5 linked regions of the Oryctolagus cuniculus genome follow. The protein of the gene in region 5 interacts with the protein of the main gene of each other region in a pairwise test. Links are inferred from orthologs where the notes say so. Each region holds a gene or a part of one and is shown on either strand. Other genes may lie near its edges. The genes, in order: TMEM11, TRAF3IP3, CYBC1, GALNT2 and KASH5.

The links.
Region 1: the proteins of KASH5 (region 5) and TMEM11 interact in binary tests that used the Homo sapiens proteins (3 or more experiments, as listed by UniProt). The two-hybrid records come from large-scale screens. The link is inferred for Oryctolagus cuniculus from reciprocal best matches to the Homo sapiens genes KASH5 and TMEM11.
Region 2: the proteins of KASH5 (region 5) and TRAF3IP3 interact in binary tests that used the Homo sapiens proteins (3 or more experiments, as listed by UniProt). The two-hybrid records come from large-scale screens. The link is inferred for Oryctolagus cuniculus from reciprocal best matches to the Homo sapiens genes KASH5 and TRAF3IP3.
Region 3: the proteins of KASH5 (region 5) and CYBC1 interact in binary tests that used the Homo sapiens proteins (3 or more experiments, as listed by UniProt). The two-hybrid records come from large-scale screens. The link is inferred for Oryctolagus cuniculus from reciprocal best matches to the Homo sapiens genes KASH5 and CYBC1.
Region 4: the proteins of KASH5 (region 5) and GALNT2 interact in binary tests that used the Homo sapiens proteins (3 or more experiments, as listed by UniProt). The two-hybrid records come from large-scale screens. The link is inferred for Oryctolagus cuniculus from reciprocal best matches to the Homo sapiens genes KASH5 and GALNT2.

The regions. Positions count from the first base shown.
Region 1 is NC_091448.1:65,901,563-65,907,500, reverse strand, and holds the start of TMEM11 (transmembrane protein 11, mitochondrial), read right to left. Parts: upstream 3,379-5,938; 5' UTR 3,290-3,378; coding exon 3,228-3,289; intron 1-3,227. UniProt on the Homo sapiens protein: Plays a role in mitochondrial morphogenesis.
Region 2 is NC_091444.1:24,608,246-24,613,526, forward strand, and holds part of TRAF3IP3 (TRAF3-interacting JNK-activating modulator), read left to right. Parts: intron 1-1,895; 5' UTR 1,896-1,955; coding exon 1,956-2,300; intron 2,301-4,210; coding exon 4,211-4,358; intron 4,359-4,500; coding exon 4,501-4,564; intron 4,565-4,810; coding exon 4,811-4,835; intron 4,836-5,281. UniProt on the Homo sapiens protein: Adapter protein that plays essential roles in both innate and adaptive immunity. Plays a crucial role in the regulation of thymocyte development.
Region 3 is NC_091448.1:649,545-655,300, reverse strand, and holds the start of CYBC1 (cytochrome b-245 chaperone 1), read right to left. Parts: upstream 3,573-5,756; 5' UTR 3,418-3,572; intron 3,146-3,417; 5' UTR 3,144-3,145; coding exon 3,059-3,143; intron 2,555-3,058; coding exon 2,513-2,554; intron 2,316-2,512; coding exon 2,242-2,315; intron 1,867-2,241; coding exon 1,770-1,866; intron 1,006-1,769; coding exon 861-1,005; intron 487-860; coding exon 366-486; 3' UTR 1-365. UniProt on the Homo sapiens protein: Functions as a chaperone necessary for a stable expression of the CYBA and CYBB subunits of the cytochrome b-245 heterodimer. Controls the phagocyte respiratory burst and is essential for innate immunity.
Region 4 is NC_091444.1:49,920,602-49,925,882, reverse strand, and holds part of GALNT2 (polypeptide N-acetylgalactosaminyltransferase 2), read right to left. Parts: intron 5,005-5,281; coding exon 4,901-5,004; intron 3,410-4,900; coding exon 3,283-3,409; intron 1-3,282. UniProt on the Homo sapiens protein: Catalyzes the initial reaction in O-linked oligosaccharide biosynthesis, the transfer of an N-acetyl-D-galactosamine residue to a serine or threonine residue on the protein receptor.
Region 5 is NC_091449.1:8,007,411-8,012,691, forward strand, and holds part of KASH5 (protein KASH5), read right to left. Parts: intron 5,058-5,281; 5' UTR 4,966-5,057; coding exon 4,923-4,965; intron 1,952-4,922; coding exon 1,847-1,951; intron 848-1,846; coding exon 661-847; exon of another isoform or gene 473-660; intron 242-472; coding exon 177-241; intron 171-176; exon of another isoform or gene 51-170; coding exon of another isoform or gene 1-50. UniProt on the Homo sapiens protein: As a component of the LINC (LInker of Nucleoskeleton and Cytoskeleton) complex, involved in the connection between the nuclear lamina and the cytoskeleton.

The sequences.
Region 1 (5,938 bases), on a different chromosome or scaffold from region 5:
CGCCCCCTCTCAGCCACCGACTTGGGCAAGGGCAAACACTCTGGTTCTCCCCTGCCCGGGTGTGTGGGGCACAGGGGCAGCGGCCAGGCGGCACCCCGTGCAAGGCCCCTCAGGCCATTCACACCTAAATGAGCTAAAACCAGATGAATCCCCCACCCCAGTCCTCGGGCACACCCAGCTGTCAGGACCACGAGTGGCTCCTGGCTTTTCCCAACAACTCCACGCTCAGATGCCGCCGGCACCAGGGCAGACCCGGGACACCTCCCACAGGGGCTCCCTGGACAGCAGCTCAGAAGGGCACGGGCAGCAGGCTCCATGCGGCTGGACCCAGAGTGCCTGGGTGAATCGGGGAGAGCAGAAACTCCCCCCACCCCAGCCCAGGGCTGGCGCTGTGGCTCAGCGGTGAGAGCCACGTGGGAGCCCCGGGAGCCCCCACCCTTCCCCAGCCAGGAGAGCTGAACCTCCGCCCCACGGTGGCCCTGGGTGCAAATCCTGCGTGCACTCATCTCAGCCCGACCAGGGGAAGGAAACCATTTGCCACGGCATCCCGGGTCTTTCGGGGGAAATTAAAGCCCCCAGACTCTAAGGGCTCTCAGCTCCGAAAGGAAAGCACGGGATCAGGAAGGGGGGTGGCTGTCGCCCCAGAACACAACTCCACCACACTGGAGGCTCCCGGGCCCTGGGGTCAGCAGCACCGGGCACCCACCCCGCCACGACCACCTGAGACCTCGTCCACCGGAACCCAACAGGAGGACGAGGTCCTGGGGGGACCACAGCACGGCACAGGAAGACGCACAGGTGACCTGCGGGCTTCCCACCGGGATGCTGCACGGACCAGAGGGGCGGATGGTGCGGAAGGCCACCGACCCCAGGAACCCGGGCGCCCTGGGACCACACCCGCGGGGACTGCTCGGCGGCACGCAGGTGGCAGAACACACAGATACCTGCGCTGGGCTTTCCTAGATGGGCACGCGTGCCTCAGCGACGCCGGCGGGACCAGTGGCAATCTGTGTGGCGTGCTCGCCGCGGCGGGCTGCGCTTTGGGCAAGAACTCGGGCTACAGCTCAGAGTCTGCTGTTCTTCACTGCAGACACTGCTGGGTCCCTGGATTTAACGGAGTGGAGAGGAAAGTCAACACGGAGGCAGCCAGCAGCGGGCCTCGGAGCCCCTTCTGCTCCCGCCTAGGCCAGCTCTGTCCCTGCAGACTTCTGCGCTGTCCCGTGGGCCGGCCACCAGCCGCGAGAGCCCACCTCGGGGACTTCTCCCGGGCACCTGGCTAGCAGCGCCTGAACTGCGGTGAGTCCAGGCGCTTGTTCCCGGCTTGCCCAGAGGTGGCTCAGGACAGCAACACGTGGGGACACTGGCACTGGGCACGGAGTCCGGGGCGCAGGCCAACCTGGCAAGTGCGCCCACAGAGCCGCTCTGCACGGCACCCGCCGGCCAGGTGTGTGCAGCTGAGATCTGCGCCCGCCCGGCTGGGACCCGGGGCAAAGGCATTTCAGAGAGTGGATAGTGGGGGACCCGGCGGGGTGGGGGTGGCCTCGCGTCAGCAAGGCTCTGCCCCGTATCCCCATCCAGCGTCCGCGCTCGCAGGACCCCAGGGGACACCTCCGAGAGCACCCGGCGGGGGCCTCACGGCCCGGAGGGGGCGCTCTCCGGCCACAGCACAGACCTGGAAGGAGGGCAAACGGCGATACCCAAGTAGCCGAGCCAGAAGGCTCACACACCAGTGTGTGAGCAGAAGCCTACAGCTCCAGGCTAGAGGTCGCCGCCGGCGAGCCAGGTGAGGAGCCACACGCCGCGTGCACCTGCCCAGGCCTGCAGCCAGCCAGTCCCCAGTCCCCGCGGACGGCCCCCGTGGCCTCCGTCGGCTGGACAAGGCCCCGGGGATGCCGGAGGGCAGCTCCCCGCCCAGTGAGCCCCTGGTTCAGGCCGACGGGAAAACCACGCTGGGGCTGTCTTAGCCGCATCCTCGTGGGCCCTTCCGGCCCCTCCCCCTGCCTGATCCCGAGTTTTATAAACAGACTACTTCCTGCCACTCGAGAGGAACGCTTGCATGAACGCCTGGAAACCCAGGCCGTAACCTCGGCCCACGGGCTGAGCCACGAGACGCCAGGGCCGGGGAGACACACAGCAAAGTCGGCCCTGCTCCTCGTTTGCATGCAAAAAACTCCCGAGGTCCGCGTCTCGGAGGGGCTGGGATCTTCCAGAAGTTCCCAGAAGACGCCTTAGTATGAAAAAAAAAAAAAAAAAGCTCCGCACGGACTTAACAAGTTTGCACCTAAGCAAATGCGTCCTTTAATTCAACTGCCCGTGCACCGATCGGAAGTAGCCACAACACAGAAAAAAATCCTCTGTTCACCTGCCGGCCCCTGCGTCTCCCAGGCAGACGGCGGGGTGCTGGGGGTCCCAACGCGGCCGGGCCCGGCCCCCCAACCAAGCGATCACCCCTGCCGGCCCCTGCGTCTCCCAGGCAGACGGCGGGGTGCTGGGGGTCCCAACGCGGCCCGGGCCCGGCCCCCCAACCAAGCGATCACGCACAACAGAGACGGCGCCTTTCCCGCTTAAGCCTCACCCGGGGGAATTAGAAAAATAAAAGGCAAGATGGAAACTCTGCTGTCCCAGCCTGCAGCCCAGGCGGCTCCGCCGACTCTCACGCGCGCGTGCACCCCCGCAGGCCTCCCACCGCCCGCCTCGGCTTCCCCGACCCCGGCTGCTCGGCGCTCCCGGCACACGCACGCCCGCGGCCCCCGAGCCGCGACCCACGCACCATTCATTGTCCCGCAGAGGTCACGTCAGAGGACTTCCGCGGCGCGCCCGCCAAGTCGCACGAGGCGTCCCGCGCGCCTGCAAGGCCGGCGGGCGAGCAGCTGCGGCCCGGCGAGGGTCCCGCGGAGACCGCGCCGCCCTGGCCGCCCCCCGGGCCCCCGTCTCGCCACGTGCGTCGGCCAGGCGGGGCGCGACCTCTGCGCCGCCCCCTGCCCGCCGGCGGCCCTGCGGGTCCCTAGGGCCCCGTGCGGCCCTGGCCGTCGCCTCTCCCTCCGGGCCCTCGCGCTCGGCCCAGGCCGCCGCGGCCCGGCGGCTCCCACCGCCGCGAGCCCGGGCGCCCGCGAGCCCCGGCGTGGGGTGAGGGCTGAGCAGCGCCATCCCCGCGTCCCGGGAGGCCCGCCGCGGCCCCGCACCCCCGCGCCGCCCGCGCCCCGCCGGCGCCGAGCCCCGCGCCTCACCTCTCTCGGGCGCTGCCGCCGCTGCTGCCCGGGCCGAGACGCCTCCTTCCCCAGGCGGCCATCTTGGAGACACTCGGCTCGCCGGCGCCGGCGCGGCGGCCTGGGCGGGGCGGGCGGCGGCGGGAAATGTAGTCCGGGCGTGCGCTCGCTGAGGCGGCTGGGAAATGTAGTCCTGCGCGGACCCGCGGGGGCGGCTGGGAAATGTAGTCCGCGCGCGCGCTCGCAGGGACGGAGCCCGGGGCCCAGGGCGGCCCCCGCCGCCGCCACCGCCCCCCGAGTGTGTGGGCGCCCACCCGCGCGGACGTTCTTGGGTGTGCAGAGCGCGCGGGCCAAGGGGAGCGGGAGGGAGGTGCCTACAATTCCCAGGGGTGCGTGGGCCGGGGGCTGGATCCGAAGTGGAGCAGCCGGGGCTCGAACCTGGGTCCATCTGGGATGCCTGCATCGCAAGCGGCAGCTTAACCTGCTGGCCCCCAAAATCAACACCTCTACATTCTTCCCTGACCGGGACCCCTGTCTGCAAGGGGGAATGGTGGAGGCCTGAGACCCCCAGGGGCCAGTCCCCCCCTTGCCACGGTCCAGCCCTCAGACGAGGAGGCCACAGCCCAGGCTGGGGGGAGGGGGCGTGGTGACGTCATGGAGGGCATCGGCAGGGAGAAGGCAGAAGAGGGGCAGCTTGGCAGAAAGGGCGGGGTGCAACCCCAGAGACCCAGAGCAGCCCTGCGGCTCATGGCACTGCATCAACTCTGTTCTTCAAATCGTTCAAGCCTGTAGTCCTGCCTCAGGACCTTTGCAGGTGCCATTCTGGCTCCCTGACAGGTTCCTCCTCCTCCGGATACTTTCATAGCTTGATCTTCCTAGTTAGGCACTCACCTGCTAGGATAAAAGAAAAAAAAATACTTGGTGACAATAATTCACTTTCTCCTTATGCTTGTTGCCTCGGGGTCCCAACATGGCCACCACGCCTCCAGACATTCCATCCACATTCTAGATACTGCATTCCCTGACCTTCTGCCCCAAAATGCCTGACTAGATGCCCTTTTATTGATTTTTTTTAAATAAATATTTGAACTATTTATTAAAAGGCGAGCTCCGGGCAAGATGGCCTGCAGTCTCCCAGACCCAGAGTTGGGGGTGGGGGCAGCGGCTGCCTGCTGGGAAGGGGTCGCCCACGGGGAGGAGCTTCCAATGCCTGTGGAGGTGGAGGAGGGGGCTGCTACCCCACCCCCGGGGCTGGCTCAGGCTGCTGTGGGTCAGCTCCCAGCAGCACAGCAGGGGAGGGAGCAGCAGCACCCCGCCCCCTCTCCATGAGTTCAGGCCCCGCCCCCTGATTGGACTTGAACTTGGGGGGGGCTCCACCTCCCTCTCCACCAACCTCCTGGCATGTGGTCCAGGCACCTTTTCCAGTCACTGCCCAGCAGTCGCCTGGGGTGGGGGAGCGGACCGCGGGGTGGGAGCGGGGCAGGAGCCCCCTCTGGTCCCAGCACTGCCACCAGTGCTCTGATGTCAGCCTGAGGTTCCCACTGCGGGGCTTCACTGGGTTTTCCTAGGAAGGGGAGAGGGACATATGGGTCCCCAAGGCCCTGGAGCTGCAGAGAGAGAGAGAGAGAGAGAGAGAGAGAGAGAGAGAGAGGTCTTCCATCTGTTGGTTCACTCCCCAGATGGTCTCCCACGCAGGTGCAGGGGCCCAAGGACTTGGGCCATCTTTTTTTTTTTTTTGACAGGCAGAGTGGACAGTGAGAGAGAGAGACAGAGAGAAAGGTGGGCCATCTTCTACTGCTTTCCCAGGCCATAGCAGAGAGCTGGATTGGAAGAGGAGCAGCCAGGACTTGAACTGGCGCCATATGGGATGCCGGCAGTGTCACAGGCGGTGGCTTTACCCGCTCTGCCACAGCGCCGGCCCCTTGTGCCTCTGTGTACCCAGTCTGATGGGCTCACCCAGGAGACACACCCAGCCTGTGCCTCTGGCTCGCCCTCTGGGCTCACACCAGACACGGTAGCCGGGGTCAGGACCCCAAACCTTGCCTTACCCCACAGTGTGCACGCTGGGGTCACCCTGCCTTTGGTGACCATGGACAGCGCTGGAGAACACACGGCGGCGCTCAGGCCCTGCTGACGCCCACACAGGCCCCTGCCTTTTGGAATCCACATGCTGTGACCCCACCATGTCCTGTTCCAACCCCTAGGGATCTGGTGACCATCCTCCCAGGTCCCCTGGTCCCTTCAGTCACCCCCTCAGGCAGGACGGGGTCTGGAAGAGCCCCTCTGCCTTCCCACAGCCACAGCGGGCCCTCTCTCTGGGGACAAAATTGAATTACAAGATCTATTTAGGGGCTGGCGCTGTGGCATAGCAGGTAAAGCTGCCGCCTGCAGTGCCAGCATCCCATATGAGCGCTGGTTCGAGTCCTGGCTGCTCCACTTCTGATCCAACTCCCCGCTAATGCACCTGGGAAAGCAGCAGAAGATGGCCCAAGTATTTTGGGCCCCTGCCACCCACATGGGAGACCCAGAGAGAGTTCCAGGCTCCTGGCTTTGGCGTGGCCCAGCCCCAGCCATTGTGGCCATTTGGGGAGTGAACCTGCTCGCTCGCTCTCTCTCTCTCTCTCTCTCTCTCTCCCCTCTCTCTCTGGTTTGCTGTCATCTTTTGCACCTGCTCTGTGGCTCTGTGTCCTGCCCCCCGCCCCCTGAGGCCACCTGAGCTTACGGCAGGGAGG
Region 2 (5,281 bases), on a different chromosome or scaffold from region 5:
TCTGACTCCAGGCCAGGGCTCTCCTCCACCTTGTAGGGCAGAGCAAGCCTACATGTGTGGGTTCTGGACCCAGAGTTCCCATGCACAGACCCCCAAGTCTCCTCTATCCAGTCACTTAAAAGTTTACATGGCTGGGACTTGAGGCCCTTTTCTGTTTTCAGATGAGGAAAGCAGCAGGTGGTCCAGGGACAACCCCTCCCCACCACCACCACCACTCCTGGCCCCAAGGACTAAGAATGAAAAGTGTGAGGAAAGGATAAAGCCATTCAGAAATGGTACAGAGAGGACTGATGTCTTCATATGGCTCCATGGGGTCAGTGCTGCCTGAGGCCAGAGGGCACTGCTCCAACCCTTAGGAGTAAGGCATCAAGGAGTGTCCAGGCTTGCCCACATTAAGACCCCTCTCAGAGAGTGAGACTGCCCTGCCTGTGACCCTAAGAAATGAGTGGTGAATCAGAAAGAGCAAGAATCCTTCAGAGAATTCTAGACTAAGCAAGGATAGGCAGCAGAATCCCAATAAAAGGGCAGGGAGGCTGCTACCTGTGCAGTCTGCTTGGCCTATAAGCAAACCCATATGGCCAGAGCTGGCTAATGCCTGCTGGTTGGTGGAGCTAAGATACCACCTCTCTGACCTACCCAGGAACTGAAGTTCCCGGGGTGGGGGTGGGGTGGTAATGAGGTCATGAGCTGGAGAAAGGAGACAGCAGCTGTGAGGGGGAGTCCCTCTTCCTTCATCAGTCCCAGGTCTGACCCCAGTGGTCAGAGGCTCGGCGCAGGATTTCCAAAACTCAGGATCCAGCTCAAGTGCAACCCCACTCAGCAAAGCTCCCAGAGCATCCTAGGAGAATAAGCGAATTCACAGCAGGTAGGTGCGGAGAGCAGGAAAGAACAAAAGAGGCCAGGAAAGAAGAAGGGATTGGGTTCAGGTGCATTGGAAATGGCAGGGAAGACAACATGCAAGGTGTCAAGTACAGCCTCTACACCATAAACCTGGTTCCCTGGGGACTTTGGGTTCCTGATTCTGTTTGTTTACAGGACAGACTCTTTGAGGTGTGATTCATGTGTGTGCTGGTTTGGATGGCACAGTCCATGTCTGGACTAAGGAAAGCAGACTTGGAAGCAGAGTTAACCCTCACCGGGAGGTGATTCTAGAAATATGCAACCCTCAGCTTCCCAAGCGAGAGAGCCAGATGCACGGAAGTGGGTTTCATCCTGGACTGGACGTGTGGCAGGGGCTTGACCAATGCTGATTTGATCTGATTTGCACATGCGAACCAGAACCCAGCCCTGAGAGTGAAATGGGTGCCAATGGACCCATGCCGGGACGACAGAGGACCCAGCAGACTAGGAGCACAAGCTGGTTGCTAAGGGCCGGGAAGACAGCAGTGGTTGCTGGTCCCAGGCCTCGTCACTTCCTGAGGAGGATCGGTTTTCCCTCCGGGTCTCAAGTGTCACTTGACTATTTTAGTAACAAAGTAGGCCAAGAGAGCAGTAAAAATGCTGACTCCCCTTCTAGGTTTGGGAGATTAAGGGGAACAGGGTCAACTTAGCTGTATCCTTGGCAGGCTTCAAAATGAACACACGTGCTGCAGAATGAGATCATTCTAATTTTGTCAATTATTTCTCATGCCTTAGAAGAAGCAGTGGTATCCAGAGAGACCCGAGCACTTCACAGAGGGTTGACGCAGGTTAGAGAAAATCAGGAATTCGCTTTTCTTAGATTTTATTAGTTTGCCAGAGACTAAGCCCAGGAGTGCAGGCTCCAAGCTGGATACTCTCACGTCCTCAGTGCTCGACACATGTGGATGGAACGCTGTGCTATTTCTGCCCACTAGACCAGGGAGATGGTCATCTTTCTTCCTGTCTTTTGACACCTCCCTCTTGGCATTTGGCAGGGTCCAGGCGGTTATGCAAGGAAGTGGAAGCCAAGTGCAACAGGTGCTCGGGAGGTCATCATGATCAGGCCAGACCCCAGGCCCTCCCCCGGCTTGGCCCGGTGGGCTGAGAGCTACGAGGCCAAGTATGAGCGCCGGCAGGAGACCCGTGAGAGCCGCCGCTGTCGCCCCAACATGACCACTTGCCGCCAGGTGGGAAAGGCAATGAGGACCCAGCAGAGAGAGCAGCTCCAGCGAGCTCGACAACGGCAGTTCTTCCAGAGGAGGAAGCTGGAGGTGGAGGAGCGAGGCCAGGCACGGCCTCCCGGGGCCAAGGAGCAAGGCCCTTCCAGGAGGACACGCCAGGCCGCTACCCTCAATGGGTCCTTGTCTTGTGCCAACAGGATCTCCTCCCCTGGACAGCAGGTGGGCCATGTCCAGGGACGCACTGCTCCCAAGGTGGAGGGAGGGTGGGCTCAAGGTCACGAAAAAATGGTTCTACTAAATCTCTTATTCTTTGGTCAAATACGAAAGTCTCCACTTGCCAGCTATTTAGTCACACAGGGATTTTTGTTCTAGTGTTTTCCTTTATTTGTTTAGCTCTTTTTTTTTTTTTTTTTTTTTTGCACTTACCTTCTGGGAGAAAAAAAATTATGAACAATCCCATTGCAATACCTAGTGTCAGTTCAAATTTAGGCAATCTATAGTATCTGCTAAGCTATTTTACAGCATTCACCCACCCATCATTCATGCAATATTTACTGAATCCTTATATGCCAAGGACAGGCCAACCCTCTTTATGTCCCCTCTCCCAACACACATGCGGACACAGACACACACACCTGGTCCTCTATTCTTCTGCAAGTCTGTTGCATCTGCTCACCCTCTCGCTTTCCCTTGGCCATTCCAGTTCTACCAAATTCACTTAGTTAAGGCCTCAATCTGGTCCAAGAAGCCTTCCCTGGCCTCTCCAGGCCACTCTTGCTCTCTGTGGGTTGTGGGGTTATAAATCTTCTAAGATTGTGTAACGCTTAGAGAGCTCGTTGGTCTGGCCTGGGAAGCAGCAGTGTTGGCAAACGCCAGGGTATGTGGAGATGATCCGACCTCAGCCAGCAAGCCATCTGTGTCTGCCCACCAATGCTGTGAGCACACTGACAGTACGGATGGGTCTGCTGTATTCCCTGGAAACACCTGGCCCTGTGCCGTACTCTGAGTAGCAGCTCCATCGGGGCTTCTTTCCTGGGGCTCTGCTCTGCGTAACGGGAGGGCTGTTCAAAGAAAAGATCCTGCGGCTCAACAGCAAAAGGAAACCAACTCTATGCTTCCTAAGGCAGAACGACTTCTGCATGCGTTTTGTTGGAAGAAAAGAAATCCAGAAAGAAAAGTAGAGCAACTACAACTCATTAAGAACTCCAGAGTTCCACGTCCACCTATCAGTCATGTGAGGTTTTACTGAGACTGAATCTCTGTCCGCGGGATTAGGTACTACGGGGATGTCACCAGCACAGACTTCCTGTGTTAGCAAGAACACAAGATAGAAAGAGCAAACCAAGCTGTGGCCACGACCACCACCCCCTCTCCTCAGCTTCCTACTTTACCTTCTCTTCGCACAAAATCTCAGAGATTCTCCAGCAGAGAGGAAGGAAGCTAGCTCTAGAATAAAGCAAGCACCCTGCGAGTCATCTGTCCCAAACTCCCCACTGCACAGGCAGGAGACTGACACCACAAAAGCAGGATCTAAAACCCAGAGCCCCTTACCCACTGCCACTCAATTCTTTTTCCACCTTGCCACCCTGGGTGAGTAATTGGCTGGGACCAAACAGTATAGGCAAGGATTCTGGAGTGAATTGTTAGAGGCAAATCCAGCTGCCAGGCAGGACCTGGCAAGCAGACGCAGCGGAAACCTTGTGGCCTGGAAGGCTCGAGTGGGCTCCTGGAGCTGAACTGCTGTCCTGGGCACTTGCACTGCTGTCCCCAGTCAGCAGGGACTGGGAGGCCTTAACAAGAGAAACTTATTTCTCACAAGTCTGAGAGGCTGGAAGTCCAGGCTAGCGGCTCTGGCAGTCAGTGTGTGAGGACATTCTTCCTGGGCTAGTGATGGCCTTCTCATCGCATCCTCACAGGGCAGAGAGCAGACAGGGAGGCACACCGTCTCGTGTCTCTGCTCATGAAAGGGTGCTGGAACCATCATGAGGGCTCCACTTTGACCTGACCATTCCCCAGGGCTCCACACAAGCACTCGGGCCACAGCAGATGTGATCTCTCCAATCATCTGGAGAATCTGCTTCCTTGAGGCTCTGGGGAGTGGTTCTCAGCATCCCCTACTTGCTTTCCAGGTGGCAGAGACCAGCTCTAAGAGCCTTCCAGGCCAGCAGCACCCTCCCGCAGACGTCCAGAGGGGTCTAGCTGACCAGCCCTCCCCCCTGGCAGGGGGCCTCCCACCACAGGACCCTTCCATCAGGAAGCTGCCCAAACATCACCGTGGTAAGGGCAGTGCTCCTTGGCATGACTGGATCTACAGGGAATCCACAGTTCCAGCTCACTGGCTGTGGAGAGTCCCTGTCCCTCCTCCTCTCCCTCATACCCTCTCCATGGCATCTGAGTCACCTTATCCTCCTTCTCCCAGGCACTCAGACCAAGGCAGAAGAACCACAGCCGACACTGAAAAACGATGCCAGTCAGCAAACCAAGTGAGTTCCTTTCACAGTCCTGCCCCTAACACCTACACAGCCCATCCATCCCTGTCTCCTAGGCTCCCACTTGAACACCTCTACCCAGCATGTAGAGGGAGCACAGTGACTTTCCATGCCACTTTAATCAGGAAGAAAGAAGCCCTTCCCCACCCCAAGGGCTGTTCAGAAGGGATCCCAGAAAGAATCCACCTGCTGCCTCCTGATTTGCTTAATGTCCACTGACTTTTCTTCTTCTCTTCCCAGTTATGGAGTGGCAGTTCTGGATAAGGTAAGAAAATTGCCACTTTGAAGGGGTTTCTCTAAGATACAAAATTCTGGAATTCCACGATAAACTCAGGCCAAGATGAAGGGGGACGGGCCTGTGCTGTGGCATAGCGGGTAAAGCCGCTGCCTGCAGTGCCAGCATCCCATACGGGTGCCAGTTCAAGTCCCGGCTGCTCCACTTCTGATCTGGCTCTCTGCTGTGGCCTGGGAGAGCTGTGGAAGATGACCCAAGTCCTTGGGCCCCTGCACCCGTGTGCAAGTCCCAGAGGAAGCTCCTGGCTTCAGATCAGTGCAGCTCCGGCTGTTGCGGTCAATTGGAGAGTGGGCCAGCAGATGGAAGACCTCTCTCTCTCTCTCTCTGCTTCTCCTCTCTCTGTGTAACACTGACTTTCAAATAAATGAATAAATCTTAAAAAAAAAAAAAAAAGATGAAGGGGGCAGTTCTTACTG
Region 3 (5,756 bases), on a different chromosome or scaffold from region 5:
CACTGTGGTCATCACGCTGGAGAAAGCCCAGGTCCTGTTTGTTTCAGAGGCCATGGATGGGCCTACCTAGACCGGCTGTGCCACCGCCATCTTCTTGCCCACCTGCCACAGCCAGGGCTGCTGCCCGACTCCGAGGAGTGACTTCGAGCCCTGCAGCCCTGTGGCCTCCCTGGACATAGCACCCCACCCTACATCCCCTAACAGACCCCCACCAGCGCCCCCTGGCCCTGCCCTCGGAAAAGGCGCAGCCTGTGGTTCTGCGCAGTCCGTGCAGCAGGGCCAGAAGGCACAAGCAGCTCTCTGGGCAGGCCTCACGGTAGCCGCTCCGCTGGAGGCACGACCGGACGCAGGGCCAGCCTGGGCTGTCAGCTCTGGCTCCCAGGACCATCGGCCTCGCTGTCGCTGCTCTCAGACAACTCCGAGGGGTTCTCCAGGTGGTGCAGCTCCAGGAAGCTGGTGATGAGCTTAGCGATGGCTTCCACGTCACTGGACGAGGCCAGCACCAGGTCAGCCGGCGGCAGCCAGCAGGAGGCCACACCAGTCCCAACCCAACCCACCCGTGTCCAGCAGCCCCTAGGCTCTAATCAGACCCCACATCTCCTGTCTGGTCCCACTTGTACCTGACCCTAGCCCAATTCTCCAAGGTGGCCATGGCAGGGCTGTCACAAGCCTGTGCCTCCCCTTCAGGCCCCCCTCCTGTGTACACACTAGCATCTCCTGCCCCTCCTGCCCCTCCTGCCCCACAACACTGGGCCATCAGTCATGAGGGTCATCCGACAGGGCCGAGGCACAGGGTGGGAGGCTCTAGCCAGATCAGCCACGCCTTGCATGAGGCACTGCCGCCCTGAGCCGGGTCTTACCTGCGGTGGCCCATGATAGCACTCTGGGTGAGAGGGTGGGAAAAGCCCGTGGCAAACCGCAGCACCACCGTGTAGCCCTTCCCAAAGTATCGGACCTTCTCCTCCTCCACGTTCACGTCCCGGATGTCGTTCAAGAGGACCACCACTGTGGAGGGACGGGTCAGTGGCCACACCGTCCCCGACCCCACCTGTGCCACGAGGCACCTGTCAGTGGCAAAAGCATTTACCTCTCCCTGTCCAAGCCTGGGCCCGAGAATCTCCTGGTGAGGCCACACCCAGGGCTCCCATCATGGAGCCAAAACACCCGTGTGAGCCCACAGCCCAGCTCAGCCCTTCCTGTCTTCACGTGCACACCCAAGGCTAAGGCCCCCATGACCAATCACTAAGCGGGGGCTTCCTGGCCATTCCCTGTGATGCCCTGGAAACCAGCTCCTCAGGGTCCAGGATAGTGGCTGTGGCACCTTCTGCCTACTCCCAGCTGAACCAGTTCCAGGCTCAGAAGTTGTTCCAGGCCGGGGCTTCCTCTAGCCACCCATCCCTCCCCACAGGCCGAGCAGGGCCACGGCCTAGGAAAAGCCGTGTGACCCCTGGAGCAGAGAGGAGTGTGGCTGGCTCCAGTCACCTGCTCACTGCTGTAACCCTGCCTCCCGGGCCCCACAACCACCCCACCACCCAGACAAAGGAAGCTCAGTGGGGGGAGGGGGAGAACCCAGAGCCAGGATGCACCCTAGCCCCTTCCACCGCCCCGGCAGGCTGCGCCTCTGCAGAACCCAGGATTCTCCAGACCTGGGGCATCTGCCTAGACCCCGCCCTGCAGGCCGGGGACGTGGGGGGACCCTGGCTGGCTGCATGCGTCTCAGCCTCAGGCGCTGAGCAGCCATTCTGGGCTCCCTTCCTCTGCACACTGACCTTGGTCGTGGCCTGCTCTGAGAAGAGTCAGCAGCTTCCTGTAGAGGCTGAACGTTTTCAAGATGACCTTGCCGGTGTTCTTGTTGAAGATGGCTTCCTGGAAACCAGAGTGCTGAGCACATCCCCCACTCCCCGTCCTGGGTGGGGCAGGTGCCCTCCCGGGGTCAAACAAGCACACGGCAAGGACACTGAGGCCAGGGAGGGGACAGGATGGCACTCGCCCTCTGCCACGGCAGCCCCAGGAGCAAAACCAGTCACAGGGTACTTCAGAAGGAAGACCCCCTTAGAGGAGTCCCTGGCCCAAGCGCCGACAGGCAACGTTCAGGGGCCACGTCCCGCTACACCGAAGCCACCGGCTAGGACAGGTGTTTCAGGACGGGAACGGAGCACTAAGCCACCCGGAACCTTCCTGCTGCAGAAGGGCCCAGAGCCGAGCGTGCCCCCCCCCCCACGCCCCACCTGACGGCCTTACCTCCCAGTCCTCCAGGTTCTGCACGGCCACCAACAGGCAGCCCGTGACATAGAAGAGCTTCCAGCCCAGGCTATCTGGAAACAGACGCAGGACGCCACCCCGTGAGTGCCGGCAGGCACCCTGCCCAGCACAGCCTGACCCCAGACCCACTAGGTTAGGGCGGGGGGAAGGGGAGGCCTGACAGTGCCCGTGCCCGTGCGGGCCCTGGCCATCACCTGTCCTGCTGACCCACACTTTCCCAAACGGGGCACACTGGGGAGGTGTCCTGTACCTCCACTGTAGTAGGCAGCAGCCAGGCCGATGGACAAGATGCCTGTGAAGAGAGCGAGAGGCTTCCGACTGGGTCCTCGCGGGCCCTTCCCACGGCGGGGCAGCCTGGAGTGCAGTGTTCACTGGACACGACCCGTGCGGGCCCCAGAGCGGTCTCAGGAGACTGTCCTGATGGGGGTGACCCTGGCAGCACCCGCTGAGGAACGAAGGCCCGAAAACCACAGCAGGGCGCAAAGCCAGCCAGGCAGGGGGTCAGAGCGCGCGCCGGAAACACGGTGCCGGAGGGGCCACAGGACGCTCCCCACGGGCAGCCACCGGCGCGAGGGGCAGACGTGGACTCCCGCAGGGCACTGAGCCAGGGAACCGGAAACGCGGGCGCGCGGGCAGCCCTCCCACGACCCGCGCATCACAGCACCGGCGCCGGGACTCGGTGAAGGGCGGCGGACAGCGGCGCCTGCCGGCCCCGCGCGGGGACCCGAGAGCCAGAGCGCCGCCGGCAGCGGAAGGAGGAAGTGCTTTGTGCCCCGCGTGCTGCCCACGGCCTTACCGACCAGCAGGGACCAGGAGCGCACGCCGGGGGCCCTCTTGAGGTGGAGGCAGGAGCTGGAGCGCGTCTCCACCTGCATGTACATCGCTGCAGGACACGCAGCGCCCGCCGGTCAGCCCAGCAAACCCGGCCCCAGGCGCACTCGGTGCACCCCCCACCCGGAACTGCCGGAACCCTTCGTCCCCGCGCGGGCCCCGCGGACCCGAGCCTGGCGCGTCAGTGCCGGGACAGCTCGAGACCACAGCCCACGCCGGCAGGGCGCGCCTCACGAGCCTCAGTGAACTCGGGTGTCTGACCCCGGCCCCCGCACACGCCGCGCCCCCCGGAGGTGAGCCCCAGGCCCTGCCCGGCGCGCCCACCTGACGGGAAGCTGCAGGGCGCCTTCGCCGGCCCGAGGAAGCGCGCCGCGCCCGTCCGCACCCGCCGCCACCCAGGGGCGCGAACCTGCGACGGGGCGGGGCGGGGCGGCGCGGACTTCCGGGCTCGAGGGCGGGGCGCGCGGACTTCCGGGCTCGCGGGGCCTCCGGGGCCCGGGCGCGGGGGCGCACGGAGGGTCTGCGGGGCCCGCGGCCCGCGCGCACGCCGCGCCGTTGCGCGGCGCACACTCGCCGGCTCACGCAGCGGAAGCTTGCGGGAAGTTCGCTTGGGCAGCGCCCTTCGGGGACCTCTGCCCGCCACGGCGTCTGCGGCCGGGACGTGCTGACTGCTGCCTGCCGCCGTCGCCGGGGACCTGCACCGCGCTCACAGCCGGTGCTTCCCGGTGCGGCCGTGTGCGCGGGTAAAGGCCAACCTCCGGGGAGCTGTGCGCGTGTGAAGGGAGCGACTACCGCACCTGGTCTGGTTGGCGCTGCTGAACACGGGATAGCGAACGGCCAGGAGATAACGCCGTCGGCACTGGGCAGGTCAAGTCCGCAATTGCATTTCGGAAGCGGCGCAGTCGGTACTTGAACCGGTGCCCCTATGGGATGCCGGCGCTGCAGGTGGCGGCTCTACCACTAAGCCACAGCGCCGGCCCCTAAACTTGATTGATTTATTTGAAAGAGAGTGACAGAGAGAGAGGTCTTTCATCTGCTGGTTCACTCCCCGAATGGCCTCAACAGCCAGAGCTGGGTCAATCCGAAACCAGGAGCCAGGAGCTTCCTCCAGATCTCCCACGCGGGTGCAGGGCCCAAGGACTTGGGCCATCTTACACACTTTCCCAGGCCACAGCAGAGAGCTGGATGGGAAGTGGAGCAGCCGGGACTCGAACCAGCGCCCATATGGGATGCCAGCACTGCAGGTGGTGGCTTTACCAACTACACCACAGTGCCCGCCCCTCAAATTTTAAACATTTAAAGAATGTTTCTGGGCCGGCGCCGCGGCTCAATAGGCTAATCCTCCGCCTGCGGCGCCAGCACACCGGGTTCTAGTCCCGGTCGGGGCACCAGATTCTGTCCCGGTTGCCCCTCTTCCAGGCCAGCTCTCTGCTGTGGCCCGGGAGTGCAGTGGAGGATGGCCCAAGTGCTTGGGCCCTGCACCCCATGGGAGACCAGGAGAAGTACCTGGCTCCTGCCATCGGATCAGCGCGGTGCGCTGGTTGCAGCGCGCCGGCCGAGGCGGCCATTGGAGGGTGAACCAACGGCAAAAGGAAGACCTTTCTCTCTGTCTCTCTCTCTCACTGTCCACTCTGCCTGTCAAAAAAAAAAAAAAAAAAAAAAAGAAAAAGAAAGAAAAGAAAAAAAAGAATGTTTCTGAGTGCCAGTTCCACTGGCTCCTCTGCTTCCAGTCCATCTTCCTGCTAATGTGTCCTGGGAACAGCCAATGATGGCCCAAGGACTCAGGTCCCTACCACCCACATGAGAACCCTAGATGGAGTTCCTGGCTCCTGGCATCAACCTATCCCAGCCCTGGCTGTTGGGGAGGAAGCCAGCAGGTGGAAGATATCTTTTTCTCTCTCATGCTCTACCTTTTAAGTGGATGAAAATAAATAAGAACTGTTTTTTTAAAGTATGTTTCCCAGCGCCGGCGCCGCGGCTCACTAGGCTAATCCTCTGCCTGTGGCGCCGGCACCCCGGGTTCTAGTCCCAGTTGGGGTGCCGGATTCTGTCCCGGTAGCTCCTCTTCCAGGCCAGCTCTCTGCTGTGGCCCGGGAGTGCAGTGGAGGATGGCCCAAGTGCTTGGACCCTGCACCCCATGGGAGACCAGGAGAAGCACCTGGCTCCTGCCTTTGGATCAGCGCAGTGCACCGGCCGCGGCGGCCATTGGAGGGTGAACCAGCGGCAAAGGAAGACCTTTCTCTCTGTCTCTCTCTCTCACTGTTCACTCTGCCTGTCAAAAAAAAAAAAAAAAAAAAGTATGTTTCCCAGTACTGTCTGCTTAAAAGTGCTACAAAGACAAGCCGGGAGCAGCACACAATTTCAGTATCGGCTTTGTGGGTTTTAATGTCGATTCCCACTTAGGGAGACCACTTCACCTCTGTGGAAGGACCTCGGATGGGCGAGGCAGCGGTGCCGCTGGAAATCGAGCCGAAACCCACAGGTCACGGTGACATTTTAAACTTTGTTCACTTTGGAAGTGACTACCAATCAGGGCTTTTTGGCTGTTTGATTAGGAGAAGGAATCCAACATTTATCCTGCCTATTTTTATAAGGTTATAGCAGTGTAACCAGTGGTGAGGAGAATTTTTCAGGTAGAAGTGTTTCCATTGGGCAGGTAAAGC
Region 4 (5,281 bases), on a different chromosome or scaffold from region 5:
GCGTTAACACAGCGACCCTCTTTGCTCTCCTGTCCTGAACCCACTTCTGAGGAAGGCGTACGGTGAACCCTCACGTGGGACATGCTGTTCTTGCACAATAAATACGCTGGGGAGGCGACGTGCCCTCTGCTCTCCCAGCAGCACCCTTGAATGGCGAGCCCTTCAAATGATCGGAGCTAGACCAATGAACGTGATTTCTGTGAGAGGCCGCTATCTTTCCTATAAAGTGACGTGTGCATCTTCTTCCTCTTACTGAAGTGGGCCATGGACGGTCAGAACGCCACTGAGGAGACAGGCAAGACAATACGCATGCACGGATGCTCTGACCCAGCAGTTTCACTTCCAGAAATTTACCTCAAGGAAATAATCCACCGGGAGTGAAAATATATGTGAAAATATGCTCACTTCAGCACTGTTCATAATGGCAAAAAAAAAAAAAAAAAAAAAAAATCAGAAATCAGAAACACATGTGGCCAAACACACAGGGAAGTGATCAAATAAATGAGCGTCAGGTGAGCTCTGTGGTCACAAAAACTGCAGGTGTACGTCTTACAACGTCCTTGACTCAATGTTGGATGAAAAACAGACAGACTACAGGCCAACACAGAGTGGATACGTGGTGGGGGAGGGAGGGGACAGAGCAAGGGAGCGAGGGAGAGAGACTGAGAGGCTGAGACATCAGATTACAAAAGTACCAGGGCACAATGTGGTTTAACCATGAGACCAGTAATTTCTTGCTTTCTCTCTATGAGAAAACACATAAATATAACCATGAGTACTGGGAGTGCTGGGGACACTGGTTCTCAAGGGTTATTTCTCAGGAGAGCCATTCCATACTCCGAGAGGCACCCTGGGGTCTTGCTGAGTGACCCTGCCTTAACCTGTGCTCTCCCGAGGTGTGACTACAGCCCTCTGGCACGGGCTTTCTCCAGCAGGAGGATGCTGGATTCGGTTCAAGGACGCTGCTCCAGGTCCCTTGCAGCCCTAACAGTTTAAAGGTTTTGTGAATTCTAGCCACACAGTGTTTTGCAATTGCTTAAGTCCTTCAATGATTAAGTCATTTCTTAATTAATCACTAAATGCAAAACAACCTATTCTGTCTACTGACTAGAGAAAGATGATCAAGGCAGCCTCAAAGCACGAGCTTCATGTGCTACTTAGTGCTGGTTTCGCTTGTTCATTCACTGGGGTATTAACTCGACACCTATTATACCGCAGTCTTCTTGATGTGACAAATACAGGAACACCTGGGATGCAGCAGGTAATGGCTCAAGTACTGGGGTCCAGCCCATCCATGTGGGAGACTCAGATGGAGTTACTGGATCCTGGCTTTGGCCAGGCCCCGCAATGACTGTTGTGGGCATTTGGGGGAGTGAACCAGGGGATGGAAGAGATCACTCTTTCTGTCTCTCCCTCTCCCTGTCATTCTGCCTTTCAAATAAATCAATCAATACATGAAAAAGATAAGTTAGTAATCATCCCCATTCTCCACCCCAAAGCTTTCCCATTTGAGGAGGGCACCCCATCAGCACCTGTGTGACAAACACCTGGGTGTGACCCTTAATTCCTTGTTCCACCTCCCTGGTCTCTGCCATCCATGAGTAATCACAGGGATGGGTGCTGGTCCCAACTCTGTTGTCATATACCTGCTCCAGGAGCCCCCTCTGTGGCCTGGGCTACCGTAACAGGGCTCAGAGGCCCCCTGGTAGAACAGGCATAGGCACCACTGCTTTATCATGGTGTCTTCTCCTAGCACCTCCGCCCAGCAGGACCTTTCTGAGGCTTTAAGCAGAGAAGTCAGGCCCCTGTTTAAAACCCCCAATGGCTTCCCTGTGCCATCAAACAACATCCAAGGTTTCCCAAGACCTCAGGGGTGCAGCCTCAGGCCTGCCTAACTCTTCCCACACCTGCCCACTGTCCCCTCGTTCCCTGGGCTCCTGTCACCTTGGCTTCCTTGTAGTCCTGGGGTGTGGACGTGCCAACCTGCCCCTTGTGTCAGCAGCCTGGACCTGCCTCTGCTGCAGGGACCCTCACTACTGCCAGGTCTAAGCTCTCACACCTGCTCCTCGGCCCCTCCACGAGCTCGCGCCCCTGCCTGTCCAGGTCTACGCACTTTCTTCCTCACAGCCTGCGGTAGGTCAGTCTTTGAAACCATGTCCTTTGCTGTGTGTTTCACTGTTGACCCCTGGGAAAAGGGAACCTCCCCAAGGTCGGACTTGTACACTGTTCTATCTTTAGCAACCAAAAGAATTCCCTAGGAAAAAAATCTGATGTGATGGAATGGCCATCTGCGATTCTTCTCCAGAAAGTTCGTCGCGTTTTCGAAAACCTGCCTATGTTCTATCATGAATTCTATCCACATGTCACGGTCTCTCTGGGTATGACTTGATTTTAATATCTGCCATAGTTTGAGAGCTGAAACTCAGGCTGAAATGCAGCGGCTGTGATAACAAACTGCCAGTGTTAGGAGGTGGTTAGGCGTGCGGGCCCCGCTCTCAAAGGTGGAGCGGGTACCACGGAGAAGGGCAGGCTGGCTGCCGCTTGTCCTCTCTCACCCTTTCCGCCCTGAGGTGCAGCAGGGTGGCCTTCGTCAGGTGCCCGCACCTCCACACTGCACGTTCCAGTCTCCAGAGCTGTGTACGCTTCTGTTCCTTCTAAATCACCCACTCCGTGGTATACTGCTCCAACAGTCCAAGGCTATATAATCTTTAACTGTGCCTTGGGTAGTAAATACATAAACTGTTCTTCCCTTGGGATGGCTTATGGTGCCGTGGGTTAAGCCACAACCTGTGATGCCACCATCCCATTCTGGAGGGCCAGGTTGTGTCCTCGCTGCTCCGGTTCCAATCCAGCTCCTTGCTAATGCACTTGGGGAGGCAGCAGAAGATGGCCCAGGGCTAGGGCCCCTGCCACCTATGTGGGAGAGCAGCCTAGCCCAGCCCAGTCTGTTGCAGCCATCTGGGGAGTGAACCAGTGGATGGAAGATCCGCAGATGGAACAGAGCTGCCCCCCAAATGCTCTGGAACTGCCCCCTCCCGTCAGTCTCCCCAACCCCAGCCTTGGCTGCTACTGCTCACTGTCACTAGAGACTCACCGCAGTGCCCTGGAGAGGGGCCCGTACGACCGCGTCAACAGCCTGCTCCCCTTAACTGTGAGTGCAATCTGTTGTACGAACACAGCACTCCTGTTAAAGGACACCTGTTCCCACACGGCCTGAGGTCCAGGCCTGTCTCAGAGGCAGGCAGTCGCGTCCCGGTCCCTGCTCACCCCTTCACTACTCACCGCGCGAAGACGGTGCCGCTGCCGCCCGGGAACGTGTAGGGGTGCTGCTTCCGGAACACGTGTCCCACGCGGCTGCACGGGATGATCTCCAGGCTGCCACCGCACTGCCACACGCGGAACGAGATCTCTGGGATGGTGGAGGAGACACAGGTGACCCAGAGAGTCGGGGGGCAGCTCTGCACCGGCCCGTGGGGACCTGCTAAGGGACTGGCTCCTTCCAGGGTATGGTCCAGAGCTGTCCACAGGGGGCATATCCGGCACACCTTGGATCTTCAGGGTAATGCAGAACTCTCTCCCGGGGGTTAAAAATTCCAAGGCCTTTCCTGTCCAAATGCCTTCTTCAACCCAAACCCTGCCTAGAGGGCAGTGCGTCACCAAAAGCCCTTAAAGAGTGCCGTGACACAGCCTAAAGCAGCTTCCAGGCAAAGGGCCTCTGGAGCAGAGACACCACCTCTGACTGTGACACCTTAGAATAATGGAGAAAGTCGGGGCTGGCGCTGTGGTGCAGTGAGTTAAGCCCCAGCCTGCAGCGCTGACTTCCCATATGAGCGCTGGTTCAAGTCCCGGCTACTGCACTTCCGATCCAGCTCTCTGCTATGGCCTGGGAAAGCAGTAGAAGATGGCCCAAGTCCTTGGGTCCCTGCACCCATGTGGGAGTCCCAGAAGAAGCTCCTGGCTCCTGGCTTCAGATGAGCTCAGCTCTGGCCGTTGCGGTCATTTGGGGATTGAACCAGTGAAATGGAAGACCTCTTTCTGTAACTCTTTCAAATAAATAAAATAATTCTCTCTCTAAAAAAAAAAAAAAGAAGAAGAAGAAGAAGAAGAAGAAGAAGAATGGACAAAGTAACAGGTGGCCCAGTCTTTGATTTGAGACAAAATAAAAAAATGACCATGGCCTCTGTTGTAAGTAAAAAGTTCTCAGAATGACAAGGGGCCTCAGTTTCCCCCCTGTCCCCCCGGGATTCCCTCCCCCAAGGATAAAAGCCATTGAACATCGTTCAACAGACAGGAGGGGCGGCTCAGGACCCGAAAGTCAAGGCTTCCCGAGAAACAAGCCAAAAGAAATCACGAGCCCTGAAAAAAACGAACCAAGCAGACAAAATACGAGCGTCCTCCTGTCTTTCACGCAGTGAAAAGGAGGGAGCTACCTTTGTAGACTACAGTCTGTAACATTTCATTGCTCCTAAACCTGGGTAGAAATGAGGTCCATGGTTATTAAAAAAGAAATTAGGCCACATTAGAGCCATTCATGAAAATCATCACGAAGGGGTTAATTGCCAAGGCCTCCTCCACCCAGTCTGACTTCCCAGATTACAATACAGTCCACCCCCAGCCTCCAACAGCTCACTCTCGCTCTGCCTGGCTGGAGGCACCAGGGTTGTTTCCCTCATCCCTGCAGGTCTGCATTCCAAATCCCTGGATCCTCGGCCTCTCCCTTTAAGGACTTTCTCTGTCTTCTGGCATGCTGTGTGCTAACAAACAGGCACACGTTCTGTGACTGACGCAAGGCGCTCCCAGGAGTGTGTGGGTGCTGTGTGCACACACGGAGGTCTTCTAAAGTTCTCCTCCCCACGCACCCTGCCCTGCCCTAGCTGCCCGCCACGAGCGGGATACGTACCCAGGTTCTCTCCACCCCACACGTCCATCATCATGTCGTACTTCCCCAGCTCCTCGAAGTAGAACTTGTCCATCACGAACAGCCCACCGGCAATCATGGGTGTTCTGGAGAGGCAGGAAGAGAGGGGGAAGAGACGGTCGCACCCTTCGCCAAAGCCAAGCCCCAGCTGACCTCCAGGACGCTGCACATGGCCTTGTTCCAGGCCCTGAGCCCTGGGTGCCTCTGTCTGCCTCACTATTTCTGCCTTCAGTGTCTCCCCCTGGCTTTGCCTGAGCTGTCCCACAGTGCCCGGGGCTGGCCTGAACCTCCCCTGGGAGGGCCTCACTGTGGCCGCTGGGACCTCTTGCTGACTCTGGGACTCTGCCTTTTTATGTCTCAGTC
Region 5 (5,281 bases):
GGAAAAACAGCCCCCCTCCCCCTCGAGCTCTGGGGAGCGTGAGGGGGCATCACAGAGGCGCTCAGCTCCTGTCTAGCGCAGCGGCCCGGGGGGCACCCTGTGCCCTGCTCGCCCCAGGCGGGAGTCCCGCGCTCCGACCCGGGTCTGCCTGCTTTGTGCTATATATAGCGTCTCACCAGATGGCAGCTGCTGAGAGGTCAGGACTCCCTCGGAGGCGGGCCCCTCTTCCAGCTCTAATCCCCTGAATCAAAGGCACGAGGCTTAGAGCCCCCCGCAGCACTCCGAATCCCGACCTGAGCCAGCAGGGGATTGTGGGGTGGAGGAGGGGCCTGGGTCAGGTGAGAGTGGGCGCCACGGGGAGGAAGGTGAGGCCAGATGGCCAGAGCCCGGGCCCAGATGGGAAAGCGGGAGGGGCTAGGGCTGGGTCTGGGGTTGGGGGGGCCCTGCCAGTCCCCTTTATTTCTGCTTCCAGGCCCCTTCCTCCTCCTCTGCTGAGGTGTTTTGTCCTCAGACCCCTGACATACTCCCTCCAACTCCATCCCCTCAGTCTCGTTCCAACCACAGTGGGTCCCTGGCCTGAGTGGTGCTGGCCGCAGCAAGCAGGCAGGCAGTCAGACCTCAGGAAGGACTTCCCCAGGGAGCGGAGGTATGGGCACTCACCCATGCAGCTGACAGGCAGCGATCCAGTCCCGCATGACCACCAGGAAGGTGTCCAAGTCCACGGTGGCCCCAGAGCCCTCCCCACTGGGGTCCAGGCTTTGGGCCAATGTTTGCAGGCGCTCATCCTGGGGACCCCGGCCCGTCACCGCCTCCAGGTAGGCCAGCACGTGGGCCACAGCCACAGTGCCTGGACAGAGCATGTCACGAGGGAGTCAGGGGCAGGTGGTGGGTGGGGACGGGCAGTGGCTCGGTCGTGTGGCACTCTGCCCAGAGCCCGGGGGCTCGAGTCGTGTGGCACTCTGCCCCAGAGCCCGGGGGCTCAGGTAGTGTGGCACTCTGCCCCAGAGCCCGGGGGCTCGGGTCGTGTGGCACTCTGCCCCAGAGCCCGGGGGCTCGGGTCGTGTGGCACTCTGCCCCAGAGCCCGGGGGCTCGGGTCGTGTGGCACTCTGCCCCAGAGCCCGGGGGCTCGGGTCGTGTGGCACTCTGCCCCAGAGCCCGGGGGCTCGGGTCGTGTGGCACTCTGCCCCAGAGCCCGGGGGCTCGGGTCGTGTGGCACTCTGCCCCAGAGCCCGGGGGCTCGGGTCGTGTGGCACTCTGCCCCAGAGCCCGGGGGCTCGGGTCGTGTGGCACTCTGCCCCAGAGCCCGGGGGCTCGGGTCGTGTGGCACTCTGCCCCAGAGCCCGGGGGCTCGGGTCGTGTGGCACTCTGCCCCAGAGCCTGGGGGCTCGAGTCGTGTGGCACCTCTGCCCCAGAGCCCGGGGGCTCGGGTCGTGTGACACTCTGCCCCAGAGCCTGGGGGCTCGGGTCGTGTGGCACTGGGGCAACACCTTGGGCAAGTCCCTTCCTCTCCTGAGTCAACATTTTCACCTGGAAGTGGGGCCCAGCCCTCCTGACCGCACAGGGTCCACCAGGGAGGACGGTGACGAGGGCCGGTGCTGGCGTGCACACTTGCCTCCCTCCTCCGTCCCAGGCCCCCCAGCCCCCCTTCCATCAGCGCCCCCCGAGTTCCCCTCAGCCTCAGGGACCTCCACCACCTCGCCCAGTTCCATCCCAAAGCTCTGGACAGTCACCTGCTTCGCTCTTGCAGGAGCCTCCGAAGGGTCCCCAGCCTCGTCCCCTCTCGCCCCCCCAGTTCCCAGCACCCCCCGCACTGCCTCCCCAGCCCTGCCCTCCGGTCCCTCCCACCTGTGCTCTGGGGGTCACAGGCTTCGAATGTGGAGTTGAGTATTTGCTCCTCTAGGCTGAGCAGCATGCCCGGGCTCAGCTCCTCAGGCTGCTCCCAGGGGTAACCTGAGGAGACAGGAGGCCCAGCTCTGCAGCGAGCAGGAGCCTGGCCCTCGGCCGCCGGGCTCTGCACAGGGAAGGGAGTCCACTCAGCCACCTGGAGCTGGGGCCGGTGGGGGACGGCAGGAGGTGGGGGACGAGAGTCTCCGAGTCACGGCCCCTGGCAGGTCCTGTCTTGCAGGCCAGGAGGTCCCCCCGCTGTCTAACCCCAGTGGCTCAGCCCCCAGACAATGAACACTGACACTGCTTCTCCTCTCCAGACTCCCGAATGCGCACAGAAGGGGGCTGGGGTGGGGAAGGACAAAGAGGAGAGGATTCTGGGAGGACCCAAGGGTGAAGGGGGGCGGGAGCCAGGAACAATCCGATACAGTGTGGGCAGCATGGATCGATGTCGACCGCTGCATCTCCGGCCTCCCAGCCTGCCCTGGGGACCAGGTCTGTCCCCACCTCACGCCGCCCTGCGGACAGAAGCGAGGCTGGCCTCGCACAGAGCCCACGGCCAGGGGCCTGAGATGCGGGGAGAGAGGGTGGTCCTGGCAGGGGAGCGGGAGCAGCCGGGAGCCGCATCGCTGTGTCAGACTGAGCTGGGCGTGGAGCCCATCTGCGCATCTGTAGACAAATGGCTTCTCCTTTTGGAGCGCCAGTTTCTCTCCTGGATAAAAAGGGGGTGGGGTGGGCAGGGCCACCCCTCTCTCCAGGGCTGGGGGGGGGGGGGTTAGCTCTGTATCTGGGAAGGAACCCACTCACGGGTCTCCCAGGGTCTGTGTAGACACCTGAGCACTGTGCCTGTATGCAGCCGGTGCTCAATAGATGCGCTATCACATCCACGGAGACCTCGGGCCCAGGGGCTGTGGGGCTGGCCCACTCTCTCCAGGGCCGGAACTGACCTTCCAGACTCTGCTCCGGCCGTGGACAGCTGGGGCAGCCGCTAGCTCGCCGAGGGCCGCCCACCAGGGACGGCCAAGCCTGGAGCTGTGCAGCCCTAGGCTGTGCCGGCTCTGGGGGCACGCCTTTCCCGTCCCTTCAGGAGGCTGTCACTGCTCTCCTGTTCTCTCCGCGTCTGTCTCCCTCTCTCCCTGGCTCTCAGCCTCCCCCTGCTGCGTCTCCCCCTTTGTATCCTATCTTTTTTCCTCTCTCATCTCCGTGTTTCGTGTTTCTCGGGGCGGCTCTCTGTCCTTGGGCCGGCTCCCCCCACCCCCCACATCTTCCCCATCTCCATCTCTCCTCCTGGGCGTGTCCCTCCCTTCCCTTCGCGAGCTTCCTGGAGCTGGCTCGGTCCCTGCTTGGAGGTTGCCGGTGGCTGCACGCCCTCTGCTGGTGCAGGTGACGTTTCGGGGGCGCCCCTAACTGGTCGGCCGGCACTGCATCCCGCACCTTGGCACTGGCCTTGGCGCCGCCCGGAAAGCATCCTGAAGCCAGTGTTCAGGCCTGGGCCTTGGGAAAGACGCAGGCTGTGCTGCTGGGTGCCCAGGGAGCGGAGGGAGTGGCCTTGCTTCTCTCGCTGGCCTGGGCCCGCCACTGGGGAGGCCTCCTCGCCCATCAGACCGCGCTCTCCTGCCTGGCAGACAAGCTTCCCCGGGCCGCCCACCGCCTTCCCCCTGGAGCCGGCTGTGCGGTCTGCGCCCACCTATGTATTCAGCAGTGGGAACCAACAGGGCAGCCACTGGCTACGCGCGCTCCTGAGCACGTGGACTCCGTGTGAACTGAGACGCTCTGCTAAAGTACACACCGGGGCCTGCAGCGTGGCACAGCGGGCTGGGCCTCCGCCTCCAGTGCCGGCATCCCATATGGGCGCCGGTTTGAGACCCGGCTGCTCCACTTCCAATCCTTCTCTGCTGTGGCCTGGGAAAGCAGTGGAGGATGGCCCAGGTCCTTGGGCCCCTGCACCTGCGTGGGAGACCCGGAAGAAGCTCCTGGCTCCTGGCTTCGGATCGGCTCAGCTCTGGCCAGCTGTGGCCATTTGGGGAGTGAACCAGTGAACCAGCCTCTGTCTCTCTGTAACTCTTTCAAATAAAATAAATCTTAAAAAAAAAAAAAAAGTACACACCAGATCTTGAAGATTTTGTGTGGAAAAAAAGACTGTCTCATATTGGTTGTATACGCTGCTTGGATCTATAAGGCTCAATACTATCTATTATTACTTTTTTTTTTTTGACAGGCAGAGTGGACAGTGAGAGAGAGAGACAGAGAGAAAGGTCTTCCTTTGCCATTGGTTCACCCTCCAATGGCTGCCGCGGCTGGCGCACTGCGCTGATCCGATGGCAGGAGCCAGGTGCTTCTCCTGGTCTCCCATGGGGTGCAGGGCCCAAGCACCTGGGCCATCCTCCACTGCACTCCCTGGACACAGCAGAGAGCTGGCCTGGAAGAGGGGCAACCGGGACAGAATCCGGCGCCCCGACCGGGACTAGAACCCGGTGTGCCGGCGCTGCAGGTGGAGGATTAGCCTAGTGAGCCGCAGCGCCGGCCTCAGCTGTTTCTTTTTAAAAGAATTCACAAATTCCTATGTGGCCCACATTTTTTGGGGCAGTGCTGTGCCAGGGACCAGGGACCAGCTGAATGAAGTGTCCCCTGCGGAGCTCCTGTGGGGAGAGGGACTGAGCAGACGCAGACGTCAGGGCCGTGAGGGAGAGGTGACGGGGAAGGGCTGACAGACGGCTGTTTCCCCTAAGGTTTGGCGGTGGCAGCAGGGTGGCCATGGGCGTGGGAGGCGGGGAGCTGCGGGGACCGGGAGGGCATTCTTGGCCAGGGCTCAGCACAGGCACAGGCGACAGCTGGCCTCCCCAGTGCACACACCCCAGGGATACAGACCGGTGGGCGGGCTCACGGGAGGCGCTCGGTCCATCACTGCTCCCTTCCTCCCACCCTACATCTGTGTGGAGGTTCAGGTACCCCAAGCCACCGCTCCCAAATCCGAGTCTCGGCCTGGTGCCCCTTCACCCCCAGCTCCCCTGGCGCGGAAAGGGGCCCAGCCACCTACTTTGTGCTGCAGGGCCACCAGCCCGGCTCTCCGGCAGGTCCATGGGCCTCCCTGGCTACTCCACGGCTGCTGGAGAAGCTAGCAGCCCCCTCCCTCGCCGGGAGGGAGAGGATGGGGCCTAGCAGCTGAGCGCTCCTGGAGGGACAAGCAGGGCAAAGCCTTCTCAGAGCGACACCAGGCACCTGCGCCGCGGGCCACTCCACGTCCTCAGAACCTGTTTGCCACCCCCGCCTTTACCCACGGCTCCAGCTCCAACCTGTTTTATGAACTGGTGGTGTGGGCTGGCAACACGTGGGCGGCAGAGATCAAAGGGGCCTCGCGGGTGGGGGTCCCAGCCTCCCCTTGGGGAGACCCCTGTG